Tamandua tetradactyla: one gene and its partner. The protein of the gene in region 1 binds, or shares a complex with, the protein of each later gene. Links are inferred from orthologs where the notes say so. Each region holds a gene or a part of one and is shown on either strand. Other genes may lie near its edges.

Evidence for each region. Proteins that work in one complex are often made in the same cells at the same time.
Region 2: TUBGCP5 (region 1) and TUBG2 share a complex: the UniProt entries of both Homo sapiens proteins name them as parts of the gamma-tubulin ring complex. The link is inferred for Tamandua tetradactyla from reciprocal best matches to the Homo sapiens genes TUBGCP5 and TUBG2.

What each region holds. Positions count from the first base shown.
Region 1 is NC_135338.1:74,105,720-74,113,051, reverse strand, and holds the start of TUBGCP5 (gamma-tubulin complex component 5), read right to left. Parts: upstream 3,072-7,332; 5' UTR 2,992-3,071; coding exon 2,846-2,991; intron 1-2,845. UniProt on the Homo sapiens protein: Component of the gamma-tubulin ring complex (gTuRC) which mediates microtubule nucleation.
Region 2 is NC_135332.1:24,574,738-24,581,887, forward strand, and holds the start of TUBG2 (tubulin gamma-2 chain), read right to left. Parts: upstream 3,022-7,150; 5' UTR 2,810-3,021; coding exon 2,761-2,809; intron 2,484-2,760; coding exon 2,371-2,483; intron 2,202-2,370; coding exon 2,034-2,201; intron 1,724-2,033; coding exon 1,655-1,723; intron 1,379-1,654; coding exon 1,269-1,378; intron 906-1,268; coding exon 779-905; intron 168-778; coding exon 81-167; intron 1-80. UniProt on the Homo sapiens protein: Tubulin is the major constituent of microtubules, protein filaments consisting of alpha- and beta-tubulin heterodimers. Gamma-tubulin is a key component of the gamma-tubulin ring complex (gTuRC) which mediates microtubule nucleation.

The DNA of each region.
Region 1 (7,332 bases):
CACCTCCATTACCTCAACCACCAGCCAGGTAAATCACTACTGTGTCTTGGAGACTGCTCAAGCATCCCTTCCTTAGGACACAGGCACATCCTTCACCTCCCCAGTTCAGTCGTTTAGTTCCTTTGTCCTCCCGTAATAACCTGTGTCGCCAACATAGCACATTCTATATCAGGTGTTTGTAATCTTTTTTATACCACAGTGAAACCTAAAAGACCCCTACCCAGAACAATCTTCTAAACGTATAAAATAAAAACAAAGGGGTGGGCCGCGGTGGCTCAGCGGGCAAAGTGCTTGCCTGCTATGCCGGAGGACCTCGGTTCGATTCCCGGCCCCAGCCCATGTAACAAAAACGGAGAAACAGAATACAATAAAACAAGAAAATGTTTAAAAATGTTTCCCTTTCTTCCTTCCTTCCTTCCTTCTATCCTTCCTTCCTTCTCTCTGTCTTTCCTTTAAAAAAAAAAAAAAATAAAAAAATAAAAAAAAAAAAATAAAAACAAAGAAAACTACTATATTGAAATACAGTTGTCAACTTAAAAAATGTATAACAGATATCCCCTTTTTAGTTTAAGGTATATTAGAAGGGCTAGAGAGACGTGCCTGAAACTGCAGCGCTGTGTTCCAGTAGTCATGTTTCTTGAAGATTAATGTATAATGATACAGCTTTTGCCATGTGACTATGTGATTGTGAAAACCTTGTGTCTGATGTTCTTTTTATGTATGGTATGGACAGATGAGTAAAAAATATAGATTAAAAATAAATAAATAATAGGGGGAACAAATGTTAACATAAATTGAGTAGATTGAAATACCAGTGATCAATGAAAGGGAGTGGTAAGGAGTATAAAAAAAAGGGGGGAACAAAGGTTAAAATACATTGGGGAGATGGAAATACTAGTGATCAATGAGAGGGAGGGATAAGAGGTATGGTACGTAAGGGTTTTTGCTTTTGCTTTTCTATTTCTTTCTTTGGAGTGATGCAAAAGTTCTAAAAAATGATCATGGTGATGAATATACTACTATGTGATGATATTGTGAGCCACTGACCGTACACCATGTATGGAATGTTTGTATGTTAAGAATGTTGGTGTCTGCACGTTGTTTTGTTTTGTCAATAAAAATTTTTAAAATGTACATTAACTAAAGTACTTCTTTATTAATGTAATAATAAACAAGATCTAGCCTAAGTTCAATAACTACCATTGAAGTAACAGTGAGCAATATTGAGAAATATCTGCAGCAACTATATTATGATGTAAAAGTAATCTGTGACCTCTACTGGTGACAATCGTAGGCTAACAGCCTAATACTATTATGGTTTGTTACCTTCATTCATAATTGAAGGAATTACTACTTTTTAGCTAGAGGTTATGTAATATTTTCTTATCCAAATTCACATACACCTGAATTCCATTTTCAGACTCTCAAGTTAAAAACACCTGTTCAAGACTATATTGTAATTGTTCCCTTTTGTCCCTGTTTTCCTTAAAGACTGAAGTTTTTATTATCTTATCCATTTCTGGATTTTTAGGACCTAGAACATGACCAAAATTTTAAAAATGTAAACATGAATTGTTCCTTTTTCTGACTGACTAAAGCATCTCAACAGTACAGTATAGCTTATTCAACTCTCATTTTCCATTTTTTTGGTTATCAAAGTCAGCAATCCGTACTTAAAAGTAGGAAATTACACTTGTGAATAATACATCTAAATCTACCCCAATATCTGGTTGTGTGGGAACATCACCCTACCTATCATAACTTAGTTTCTCAATCTAAAAAAGGAGATAGTAACTTAAAGTTCTCCTAACTAAAATGATATCCATCTATCTACTGACATTTAAAAATATTAATAAAAATCATTTGGGATAGCACATTTAATTTTCTGTCTTACATGAGATATTGCAGACAGTGTCACTTTTCTAAATCACATTTAAGAACTGTGTTGATCATTTCAGAAACGTACAGATCTGAAAGCCGTCTATTCTTATTATAAATCAAGTAGGCACTTTATTGTGATAATCAAGATTACAGATAAAAAAACTGTTTGCGATTTCTATGAAATTAAATGGGCAGAATGTTAACACTAACACTTACTTTTAGTAGGAATTCCATTACAGTAACGATCACAACAGTATTGTCTAATTTATATTTTCCCTAAAGAAAAGTAGGCGCTCGACTGCAACCTAATTATCTAAATCGTAGCTATTTAAAAAATAATTAAATGAGAAGCTGTATTAGAGGTTGTATTGGGTGACTTAGTGTACTACGGGTCTAGAACTGTTCTAGGTGCTGAGATACAATTATGAACAAAACAGACCAAGAACCAAGATCCTTGCTCCCCAGCAACTTACATTCCAGCTGGGTGTGGGGGAAGGTGGAGACAAAGAGTAAACAACTGATATATCCAATGTGTTTTGATAAGCGCTCTGGCAAAACACCGAGAGCAGGGTAAGGGAGATCTGGAATGGCCCGGGCAGGAAGAAGGAGTGAGAGAGAATACAACTCTAAATAGGATGTGATCATTATTTTGCTCTTAAGACTCGTACTGCACAAAGCGCAATGGCTACAGTAGAGACAGAGTACGAACCTGCTCTCTAAAAGCGCACATACTAAGACGGGAGGCGGGCACTCAACAACTCACAATTCACTGTAGAAGCACGCGTGTGTCTCGCGACGGGGCCACAGAAGACCCTAAGGCACCGAATAAGGGCAGGGCCTATGCGGGTTTCCCCGAGGATCCCACAGCTAGGTTGCGCGACCCCGCCCCTCCTCCTCTGGGCTCGCTGGGCAAAAAGGACACAAAGACCCAAGCGCAGAGTCCCCGCCCGTGAGCATCCCACACCTGAAGTTGGACCAGACGAAGCTCAGGGCGAGCTGGAAGTTGGGGTCCGCCTCATCCTGCAGACCAGTCATATGCCGGACGAGCTCCAGCACGTCCACCTCCTGTTGTCTGTCCAGCCAGCTCCACGGCGGAACGGCTCGAGCCATTGCCCCTGCTATCCCTCACTACCCGCGCATTCGCACACCAGCAATGCAAGTTCTCGGTGAGTTACGACTGCTCTCGCGAGAGTTAGCTCAGCCGCGGCATTGGGTCTCGGCGACGTTTGGTTGCTATCGCAAGAGTTCGCGCTTCGGTCGTGTGACGACTAGGGCGTCAGTGCGCATGTCTTCTGGACAATGCTGCCGGTATTGTTTTTGTGAGATGTTGGTGTTGTGTCTCCCACTTGCACTTAGTAAAGTTGAGTGTGTTAAAGAAGATACTGCAGAGAAGAAAACCGACAAGGAAACAAAACAATACAAAGATAAAGAAGATACTGCATTATTTGAGGTACAGACCGTTTGTGTGACCTGCATGAAGCTCCATTCCTACGCTGAGCTCCAGAAAGCTCGCTGCCGACGCCGCTTCCTGGGAGGTTCTCTCACACCTCTAAGGCACAGTATTGTTGCCGAAGGATTTTCTCCTCATCGAACTTAAAAGATATATATCATACAACCTTCGTGTTTAAGACAAAATGTAGCATATTTATATAGACAAGAAACAACTTTTGGAGAAGAGTAACTAACATTTTCTCTTGCTCTGCAATCCCCGTAGACCCAGGAAAGCGCCTCACATATCGCTTGGTTGTCAAAAGAGACAAGAACACCGAAGTGCGTACAGCAGGACCAAGAGAAGTGTATAATTTCGAGGTTGAAAGGAAAACACAGAGTCTTAATCCTCCGCCTGCCATTTAATGGGGGTGTGGCCTCAGGCTAGTCGCTTCTCCCTCAACCTCAGTTTTCTCAAAAGAGGGTTCTGGTGGGGCAGAGAAGGGTTATTCCTATTTAATAGAGTTAGTGCGCATACAGCATTTAGAGCCAGGCACTTGGCAAGTCCTCCAAGAGTTAATTGTTACTATTAAGAGATATGTAATGGTCTCTGGCTAATTTTGGTTGATGGTTTAACTTCTGATAATTTTGATCATAATTCAGTAATATCTTTTATTTTTTTGGGTGGTGGAGGGTAAGGGGAGCATGGGCCTAGAGTAGAACCCTGGACTCCCGTGTGACAGGGAGCAGGGGCTTGGGCCTACGAGGACCACTAGCAGAAACTGAGAACAGATGGTTTTTAAAATGGGGGGAAAATATGTATCTTGAAAGCTATTTAAAAACATACTCATAATGAGAGAAAAAGAAAGATCAGTTGACTAGATAGCAGCAAAGAAAGAAATCACCAGACACATTAAAATACAAGAAGAAATGCCCCAGTCAAAAGAATAAATCTGAAAGAGGAGATATAGAATCTGGAATAGCTAATCAAAGATGTTCAAACAAATTTCCTGAAAAAACTCAAATAAATGAATGGGAATATGCATGAAGAGATAAAAGATACTAAGAAGAAACTAGGAGAGCATAAAGAAGAATTTGGAAGAATATATAGAAAAATAACAGGCATTATAGAAATAAATGACACTAGATGATGTTTAAAATATACTAGGCACACACAACAGTAGGTTTGAAGACGCAGAAGAGTATCAGGTGAGAGCATTCTAGCATTGAGCCACCCATGCACCCCTTAGTATATCTTTATACCCTTATTTTCAGGTACCATGACTCTGGTTAGTTGTATATCCTTCTCCAAGGTTCAGTTTCGTATAGAAAAATGAAGAAATTGAACATAATGACCTTTTAAGTTTTCCTGTCACACAGGCCAAGTGATGACACCTCACTGCTCCAAGGTCATTTTGAAAGATGCCTCCTGCTCTCAGTTGCTTATAACGGAAAATGGCTGAAGAAGGAATTTATAACTATCTGGCCAAGGTTGGAGAACTGCCTTTGTTATTTGTAATAAAAACTGCCTTTATTTCTGTTAACTATTGCTTGTAGCAAACCATTTAAAAACTTACTGCATATGTCTCTTTAAAAATTTTTTCTTTTAGAAATTTTATGGGTTTTCATGTGGCTTGTTGCATTGCATTTCTATAGTATTAGATAGTGATATACCACCAATAACATTGCACAAGATTACCTTAAGGAGGAGGAAAATTATTCTGTATAAGAGAACTTATACGCTTTCCCTGGGCAATCTCTTTATTCTAGTTTCAACTCTCATCTGTATGCTTATAACTCTCAAATCTGTCCATACAGCTCTCATTTTTATTGACACCCAAATCAATAATTGGTGTCTGTACATCACCAAAAAATCGGTATATATAAACACACACATGCACTTTGGTTCAAGGCCAAAAATTAAGGTCTTGTATTATTTAGGGTTCTCTAGAGAAACAGAATCAACAGGAAATACTCGCAAATATAAAATTTATAAAAGTGTCTCACATCATCGTGGAAACGCAGAGTCCAAAATCTGCAGGGCAGGCTGTGAAGCCAACAATTCCAATGGAGCGTCTGGACTAACTCCACAGGAGAGGCTCACCAGCCGAGACAGGAAGAGCCTGCCTGTCTCTTCTGAATCCTCCTTAAAAGGCTTCCAGTGATCAGATTAAGCATTACTCATTGCAGAAGACACTCCTCTTTGGCTGATTACAAATGTAATCAGCTGTGGATGTAGCTGACATGATCATGATTTAATTCTATGAAATGTCCTCATCGCAACAGACATTGCCCAACCAGACAAACAGATACTACCACTTGACCAAGTTGACACATGAACGTAACTGTGACAGGCCTTATGTTATGTGTGGCTTGTTATGTATAACTGGGAGGACTTTGAATGGCCTAAAGTTCACCTTCCTGTTGTACTTCCATGGGTGCCCTTGCCAAAACAACCTCATTATCACCAGGACCAGGCACAGTACCTCTTATCTTTGAATAGCAGGCTCCAGTCTCCTGGTAGCCCATGGGGGGTTATTTATTTATTTATTCAAATAAACCAACACATCCTCTTGTGGGTACCTCCTTTTTTTTACTACAATGCCTGACCCCCATGGCCTCTGCTTGTTCACTTTGTTCTCAGGTGAAATCCTGGTGAGACCTTACATGGCACAAGATCCTTCTCCTCAAAGCTGCAAATATGTATGACTAATGAAGTGCTATTGAGTTCATCTGGCTAATGTTGGGTGTTCTGTGTTTGACCATTTCCATTACCCTAGGGCAGGAATCCTTCTATCACCAATGGGGTGAAGAGTGGGAAATCAGAACCACCAGTGTTATAACAGGATGGGTCAGCCATGACTGAGAAAACCTCATCAGCTTTAATGGACCGCTCTTGGGTAACCAACTGGTTCTCTGATATGACAAAGGCTGCTGGGATGGAATTGCCAGTTGCTGGAGTGCTTGCATTTTGGCTTGTGTGGGATTGTGTTGTGTTGGCCAGATGTTGACACCTCTCCCTACCTAAAGTACATTCAACTTCTAGACAAGAATTTTTAATAGGCTATACCCTGGTCTTTTTGTTTGCCAGGGCTGCTACAACAAATACCACCCACTAGTCTGACTTAAACAACAAAAATTTATTACCTTATGATTTTAGAGGATAGCAGTCCAACATCAAGTTATCAGCAGAGCTTGCCTCTTCCCAGAAGTGGGTAATATTCTGATGATGGCAGTCCTCCATCACATAATGATGTCCTTAGTCTCCTCCTGTGGCTTTCTCTGCTTCTGAAGTCCTCAGTTCAGGCTTTTAAGACTGCTAAATTATCAGATTAGGAGATTCCCCACATTGTTGAGGTTATCGCTTTTGTTGATTGTAGATTCAATCAGCCATATTTCATCTTTGAAATACCTTCACTGTAACTATCAGACCAGAGCTTGCTGGACATCCTGTCCTAACCAAGTGGACACATGAAATTAACCGTCACACCTGGCATAACATGACATTGCATTCAGCCTGCATTTAGAAGATTGTCTCTGAGGCTTCTGCCTGTAGGGTGGCAACAACACCACCATAATTAGTTAGTGCTTGAGTCCACTTTTACTAAGTGTTGGGCTAGTGCTCCATGGGCACTGCATCTAGTCTGGTGACCATTACTTGGGGCAGCCCTATGGAGTTGTGATTGGGATAGACCTGGGGATGGCCCGTTGTCAAACAGGAAGGAAGGCCACCACCTTGGGGAGAACTAAGCATACCACCTTGGTTGCTTAACAAGAGTTGTTTTTCAGGCAAAGGAGTGAGTAACCTTTACTCATCTCTTGTGCTGCCAAGGGCACACTCTCCAGATACCATGGGCTACACATCCTTGGTAGCCCAAAGTGTATTGCTGATGGGGAGAAAAGCAGTTGGTACTCCATTGCTCTCCCAGTGCAAAACCCCTAGCTAACATACCTGGGTTTGCTTAGGACATTTTGTCAGTATGCCAAAGGGCTAAACTTATGATCATGGAGCTTGATGGGTTC
Region 2 (7,150 bases), on another chromosome or scaffold:
CCTGGGTGGGGCCTCCCTTCCCCAGACAGCCCACCAGCAGGGAGGGCGCTGGTGCAGGGAGGTCCAGGGTGGGGCCACACCAGCTGGTTGATCTGGGAGAAGGACGGGTTCTGGATGTGCAGGCGGTCAGTGGCGATCCGGTTCAGAGCCGTGTTGTCCAGCACCACCTGCGGGGACAGAAGAGGGCCACAGTAACTTTTGAGGAAAAAGGGGACATAGAAAGTTGATATTAGCTTAGACCTAAACTCCAAAATCAGGAATTAGTAGTCTCTGGGGCACCCAAGACACTTTTCTAGTGTCCAGTGTAGTAAACAAATATTTTAGTTTCTCTCTCTGTGTCATGCATTTTACTTGGCCTGGAGGTACAATGGACAGAAAAACAGGCATGGTCTTTCCCCTCACCAGATCTTCAGTCTAGTGAAGGGAAACAGACATTAAATGTAAAACACAAATATTATAGCTACAATCTGAAATATGCTTCAAGGAATCTGACCTTGACTGGATGGTCAGAGATTTCCAGGAGAAAGTGACCCCTGAGCTGAGTATCCGAGCATGAGTAGGCATTAAGCAGGCATAGTGGGGGCAGCTGGGTGGGAGGTTTGCTCTGTTGAGAGTCTTGCTGCCTAAAGGGACTGTAAACAACTTGAGGGTTGGATATGATTTCAGAATTCAGCTCATAAGATTTTGTTCTCTGGAAAGGGGCATGGGCAGGGCAGAGTGTATGTGATCCCCTGGTTTGGAGAGGTTGACCAAAGCCCCAGCTCTGTTCTGTGCTCACCACACAGTCTGCGTTCTGGGTCAGCCTCTTGAGCGTGAGCAGGGAGTTGTAGGGCTGCACCACCACATCGCTCATCTCATCCTGGTTGGGAAACACTGAGTACGTCTGCACCAGCTTCTTGGGGTACCTGAGGGTAGGGGGAGGGGAGGGCGGCACAGTGAATTGGAGGCTCCCCATCACTGCCCATCTCTTTATTCTCTAGGGACAACAGGAGCCATTCCTCTACAAGCATCACCAAATTCTTGGATTGAGGAAGTAAGGGTAGAAATGTATCTTCAGAGCTCAGGAGCCAGAAAGGACAAGCCGCAAGCATTGAACCTGCCATCCCCTGAGTCATTGCTTCCAAGATGCTGCTTGGGTGGCCAGGCTCTGTCCTTATGACTCAAAAGAGGTAGTGGCATACCTTCCAGTTCAATAGAAGAGGTGACAAAAAGGAAGGACATCACCTAGGGAACCAGGGCTAATGCCCTCTCCCGAAACATGGGCTCACCTGTCATTCAGGCGCTCCAGGAGGTAAGAGCCCAGGCCTGAACCTGTCCCCCCGGCGATGGAGTGACATAGCACAAAACCCTGTATGGGGAGGGGTGGAGAAGCTTCAGGCTTGTCTCATTGCACAACATACCCATGTCTGGAGGCTTCCTGTGTGTCCATCCAGGTTCAGAGCCTTGAGCAGAGGCTGAATGACTCATGCCTAAGGGGCTGATGGCACTCAGATTGTGGCATGTGAGGACAAGCTTGTCCCTTATCTCTCAGTACTCTACATCTGATGCTCAATTGATAGGTTTCAAATTGCCTCATCACACCAACTGTTCAGGCCACCTCCTGACTTTTCCCCAGCACTCTCCAGGTTTTTCCTTCAGCAGGGGAGAGCCTCACCTCTAGGCTGTCACTTCCATCTGCTTCTCGGTCTATAATGTCAAAGATGTCTTCGTGGATTTTCTCACCCTGAGTAGAAATGTGTGGAGGAAGGATCACGGTGAGAAGGTTCTGGGGAGCATCTCTTTTCAACACCAAAAGCTCTACCCTGGGACATTGCTGCCACCCTCAAGCAGAGCCTCAGATGTGGTCCTCAAACTGCAGCTGCTACTTGGCAAATAATTTGCACACAATTTGCATAAACCTCTTCCCAGTTCTTCCTCTAGTCAGAGTATCCCCCTTTGTCTTTCATTTATTGTTACTCTGATCCGGTCAAATCCCCAGGCTGCTTAAACCTGCCTTGACCTGGGGTGTCTTCTGGGATGGCCTGTTTAGGCACCTGGGAGAATCCACTGGCCCAGTTGTTGCCTGCTCCTCCACCATGCTCCGACAGGTAGATGTTCTCTGGGTTGTAGAGCTTGGCGTAGGGGGAGTTGAGGATGGAGTGGATCACCCGGGGCTCCAGGTCCAGCAGCACAGCCCGCGGGATGTAGTGCTCATCATCTGCCTGAGCAGGGGAGTCCAGGCCGGGACCCAGTCAGCTGGGGCCTAACCAGTGCTCCCACAACCCAACCCTGGCTCCTGCCTGCCCCCCTCTCCTCAAGCCCTGGCCCCTCTGCCAGCCGGTTTCCAGATCCCAGGCCAGTGCCCTTCCCTTCCAAAATCGCTGGGGGCACCTGGTAGAAAAAGACGTCCTTGCGGTCAGTGCCTTCGGTGGCGAACTCCTCCACGATGCCCTCGGGGCTGATACCATGCTCCGCGCACAGCTGTTTCCAAAACTCGAATCCGACTGGGGGGAAGGGTGAAGATGCCTCGGTCTGCTAGAGCCGTAAGAACTAAGAAGCCCAGGGTGGGGGACAGAGACTGTCACACTTGGAGAGGGCGCTCAAGACGCCTGGGTCCGGGACCCCGCACAGCCTGGGGGCCGCTTTTGGTCTGGGGCTCCGTTCATCACGCGCATTAGGGTAGGGATGCATGGAAGGGAAAGGAGGACTGTAGGATGCCAAGCACTTGGGTGGAACCCGAAGGGGCAGAACCGGAGCTGAGGGGACCCTGCACTCGCTCACTCTGGTTGCCGCACTGGCCCAGTTGCAGGGTGATGATCTCCCGGGGCATCACTCTTCAGACGTGGGCGCTCAGCACCCCCGGGCAGGAGTCGTAGCAGAGACGAGTGCTTGACAGCGGGGTGCGCAGGACGTGGGAAGCACACTCTCCTGGTCTCTTGACGCGGGTGTTCGGTCTGCGCGTGTGCAGTAGGGGCCTCCCCTCGGCCGGCCTGCCGGGGAGCCAGACCTGAGCATCATTTTCTCCCACAGCAATTACAGCTGGAATTCGGCACAGGCGCAGACTGAGGCCACGCCCTTCCCCCTTGCCCCCTCCCGCTCCCCGCTCCGCGCCTGCGCATTGAGAGGCAGCGGGGGCGGGGGGGGCGGGGACCCGCAGGGTCGCGACCGGAATCTGGGGGAGGGGAGAGGCTGGGCCGCCGTCGCGTACTAGCCAGACGCTCCAGATGTGTGGAGCTAGCTGTAGGGGGGTAGATGTGCGGCTCTGCGGAATCTGCTAGGGAGAGGAGCTGGGTCCAAACAAACTCTCTTCTTTTAAATTTAATTTTACGAAAACTTGCAAACATACAAGTACGATATTGTATTTTTATGTTTAAAATGTTTTGTAATTGTATTTAATGCCACTGAATTACACACTTTAAAATTATTATTCTGGCAACTTTTATATTATGTATATCTTATTTTATATATGTATTTTAAAATTTTTATATAAATGATGACAGTGTAATATCCTTTTGCAACCTCCTTTTTTTTTACCCTATCACCATACATTGGGTTTTTGTGATTTAGCCATATTGACACTTGTAGATTTATTTCATTCCCTTTAATTGTTGTGTAGTATTTCGTTGGGTGAATAAAACCAGTTTATTCTATTTCCAAATAGAAGGGCTTAGATTGCTTCCATTTATTCCCTATTAGAGGAAGCACAGGACTTGTCCATTTATGAGCATGAGGGAAAATGCTGCTAGAAGGGGCTTGTGCAGTTTCAAATTTACTAGGTTTTGCATATTTTCTCCAAGATGGTCATATTAATTTACTCTCTTCCAGCAATAGAATTCCCATCTCTACACTTGGGCTATCAGATGTTAATTTTTCATAATTCTATGGATGCTGAATGAGATCTCATTGTTGTAATTTCCAGTTATTGTCACTAGTGAAGTTGCTGTTCTTTTCTTTTTTCTTTTAAACTTTTTAAAAAATACTTTCAAATTTAGAGTTACAAAAATAATACGAACTCCACACTGAGAACTTCAACATATCCCTATTCCCTCACATACCTAGACCTACTAGTTTTAACATTTTGTCACATTTGCCATATCATTCTGTCTACCTATCAATCTATCAATTCATCCATCTGTTTGCCTCTCTAACAATTCATTTTCTGAATACTTCAGTATAGGTTGTATACATCATGCTCCTAGAATACTTAATACAGTCAAAAACATTTCTTAAAAACAAGGATATTCCATTTTATGTGTCCACCTCAAGTACAATTATCAAGTCCAAGAAATTTAACATTGATGTAAAGTTTACAGTTTATATTCATGTTTTCATATGTCCCAATAATGTCCTTTTGAGCCTTCTCTCCTCCTCTATTAGATCCTGTCCAGGATCATGTATTGCTTTAATTGCTATTGTTTCATTTTTCTTTTGTTACTGGCTTTTCAGGATTCTTCCTCTGTGAAATGCTTGTTTGTATCTTTTGCCCATTTTTTCTCCTGGGTTGCTTCTCTTTTTCTTATTGATTTGTATGCATTTAAAGATGTTCTAGTAATCTGCCTCGGTTCTATGAGTTGCAAATATTGTCTCTTGGTTGATGGCTTGTCTTTTCACTTTGCATAGAATATCACGAGATTGTTATAGAGATTTAATGTGGGCAAAGTTATCTATCTTTTCCTTTATATTTTGCATGTTTTATTCCTTGTTAAAGAAACCTTTCCCTAACCCAGTATCATAAGTTATTCTTTTATGGTTTTTTTCCCCAAAAGCTTCATACTAGTTTTACTTGTTCCTTGTGGGTCTTCAGTTCGTCTGGAATTTATTTGGAGGCCTGCTGTGAGATAGCATTCTATTTTATCTTTTCCATAGGGATGTCCAATTGTCTCCAAACCAATTGTTAAAGAGCCCATGCAGTCTCCTGCACCCCAAGGAACATTCCAAATCCTCACCGATGTGTTCTGTCTGTCTGTCCCTGTCTGCTGGGCTTTCTTTGCAAGTTGTCTGCAGAGGCACTGGTAAAAGCACTCTTTCTCTCTCTCTTTCAAAAGAACTAGGCCGCCTTCCAGTCCCCACCCTCCTGGAATCCTCAGGCCCACTTCTGTCCCTTCCCCAGCTTTGGTTCAATTTCACTCCCCTCACCCCACCAGGGCCTTCTAGCCAGCTTCCTCCACCTCTCGCCTGTCAGAAAATCTTAGGCATCCCTCAGGGGGACCAGTAGACGTGACCTTTTGGGGAGGGTCTGCTACTTCCTTTGAAGTTTAAAGGTGGAGTCTAAGCAACTCTCTGAGCCTCAGAGACTCTTCCTCCAACTGGATCACTCCCTAAGATCTGGCTGTCTTCAGAGGCTTTGCCAAGACCTTTACAGAGCTCAGCGTCTGCCAAGGGGTGAAGAGGAAGGCTTCAGAGATGAGAGCAAACTTGCCAGGCCTCCCTGCCTTGTGAGTTTTCTAAGGCTCAGTTTGCTTCCTTTAAAATAATAACAAGCTATAAGTAGTTTATGAACTCTTGCAAAACATGAGTTAATTTTTATCTTTTCATGTGATTAATAACGATGCTTTCCACTTCCTGGTCCCCAGAATTGTGAAAAACTCCTTCAAATCCCAGTTTATAGGCAAGCAGGTTAGAACGTGTGAGTTTATCTGAGTTGGAAAAGTTGCTGTGTAATAAGTCATCTCTGATGAGCCGGAGGCTCTTCTCAGTCTGGTAGAAATAGCTTGGAAATGCAGATGCTTATGCACCTTAGAGAGCTGAATGTAAATCCTTCCAGTTCTTAGCAGACTATGGTTTTCCATTTCTGCTGAGAACTGACATCCATATCAGTTAAATGAGATAATACATGAGCACTTAGCATGGTGCCTGACTTATAGTAAGCACTCAACAAATATCAACTGCTGTCATTACCCCTGCGTGCAGCTGGAACTGAAGTACAACTTGGCTACAACTATAGATGAAAGATTTTATTCAAGATAAAAGTAAAGTTGATATTTACTTTAAATACATTAAAAATAAATAAAACGCAATGATTGGTCATATTCAGTTTCAGCTGTAACTTCTACTGAGGTTGAATGAAAGAACCACGTTCATTATCTCCTGGATTTCAAATCTAGGGTCTCAAGGTCATTACCCGTAGTTAAGTATTGAGTTTAATTTTCTTGGCTCCATGTTCTCTGACCCAGATTATGACAATGTAGTGGGATGTGGCGTTCCTTTGTCTGAGGCCTTGCTCTGCATCTGATAATAAATGTAGCATTTGTAAATAACTAAGAAGTTTGCTAAATGTCCAGAGTCTTGATTGGACACTCCATATTGAATAAAAAAAATTTTTTGATACATCTTCATTTCTGGCCTTTCCTGGATGCCTGCATGTACTGTCAAGAGCACAGGTATATTTTGGAGGTTAGAGGTAGAAGGGTGAGGTGGTGGACTGAGGGTGTATCTCAGGGCCTGGGAGAAAGAGCAGTGTGCATTTCATGGAAAAACAGGTAGTTAGAGTCAATTCTAGGCATGAGACTGGGATTCTGTGGCCCCATGGAGTTTAATTTTCAAAGTGAAGGCAAGGGAAAATTAAAACTGTGACGAGAAAGAGCTGAAGCTCTTCATGTAAGGGGAGTTTTGCTAAATTCACATTTTGACTATGAAATAGAATGAAACAGCTGACTTGTTCCGTATGGTTTTTCAAGGAATAGGAAGTAAACCAAAATAAGAAGTAAGCCTGTGTGTGGGCCATTTGTTAATTCTTGTATTGTGCGCCTGTAATGTGTGGGCACCCAGTTATAAGCTGGGGAAATTGAGATCATCTTGGGTTGTTGGGTGAAGGTAGAGCCATTTATTGAGACACAGGGAAATCAGGAGGAATGTGTTTGAACAAGTGGGGTTTTAGGGGACCTGGGGATGTCTAGATGGATTTAGGGGTCCCAGAGGTAACAGAGAGTGCACAGGCCTAGAGCTAAGGTGAGAGATCTGGGTGTACAGCCATCCTTGTCCAGGCAGTGGTTAAAGGCACACAATGAATAGGGTCACAAGAGAGAATGCACGGTGCAGGATGGTCCTAGATTGGAAGAGGACTCAGAATAGAATCTGGTAGAATTCAACAGTTAAGTGGTAGGAAGGAAGATTTCATGGCAAAGGAAAATGAAGGAGCAAGCAGAAAAGAGGGAGAAAAACTAGTGTGTAC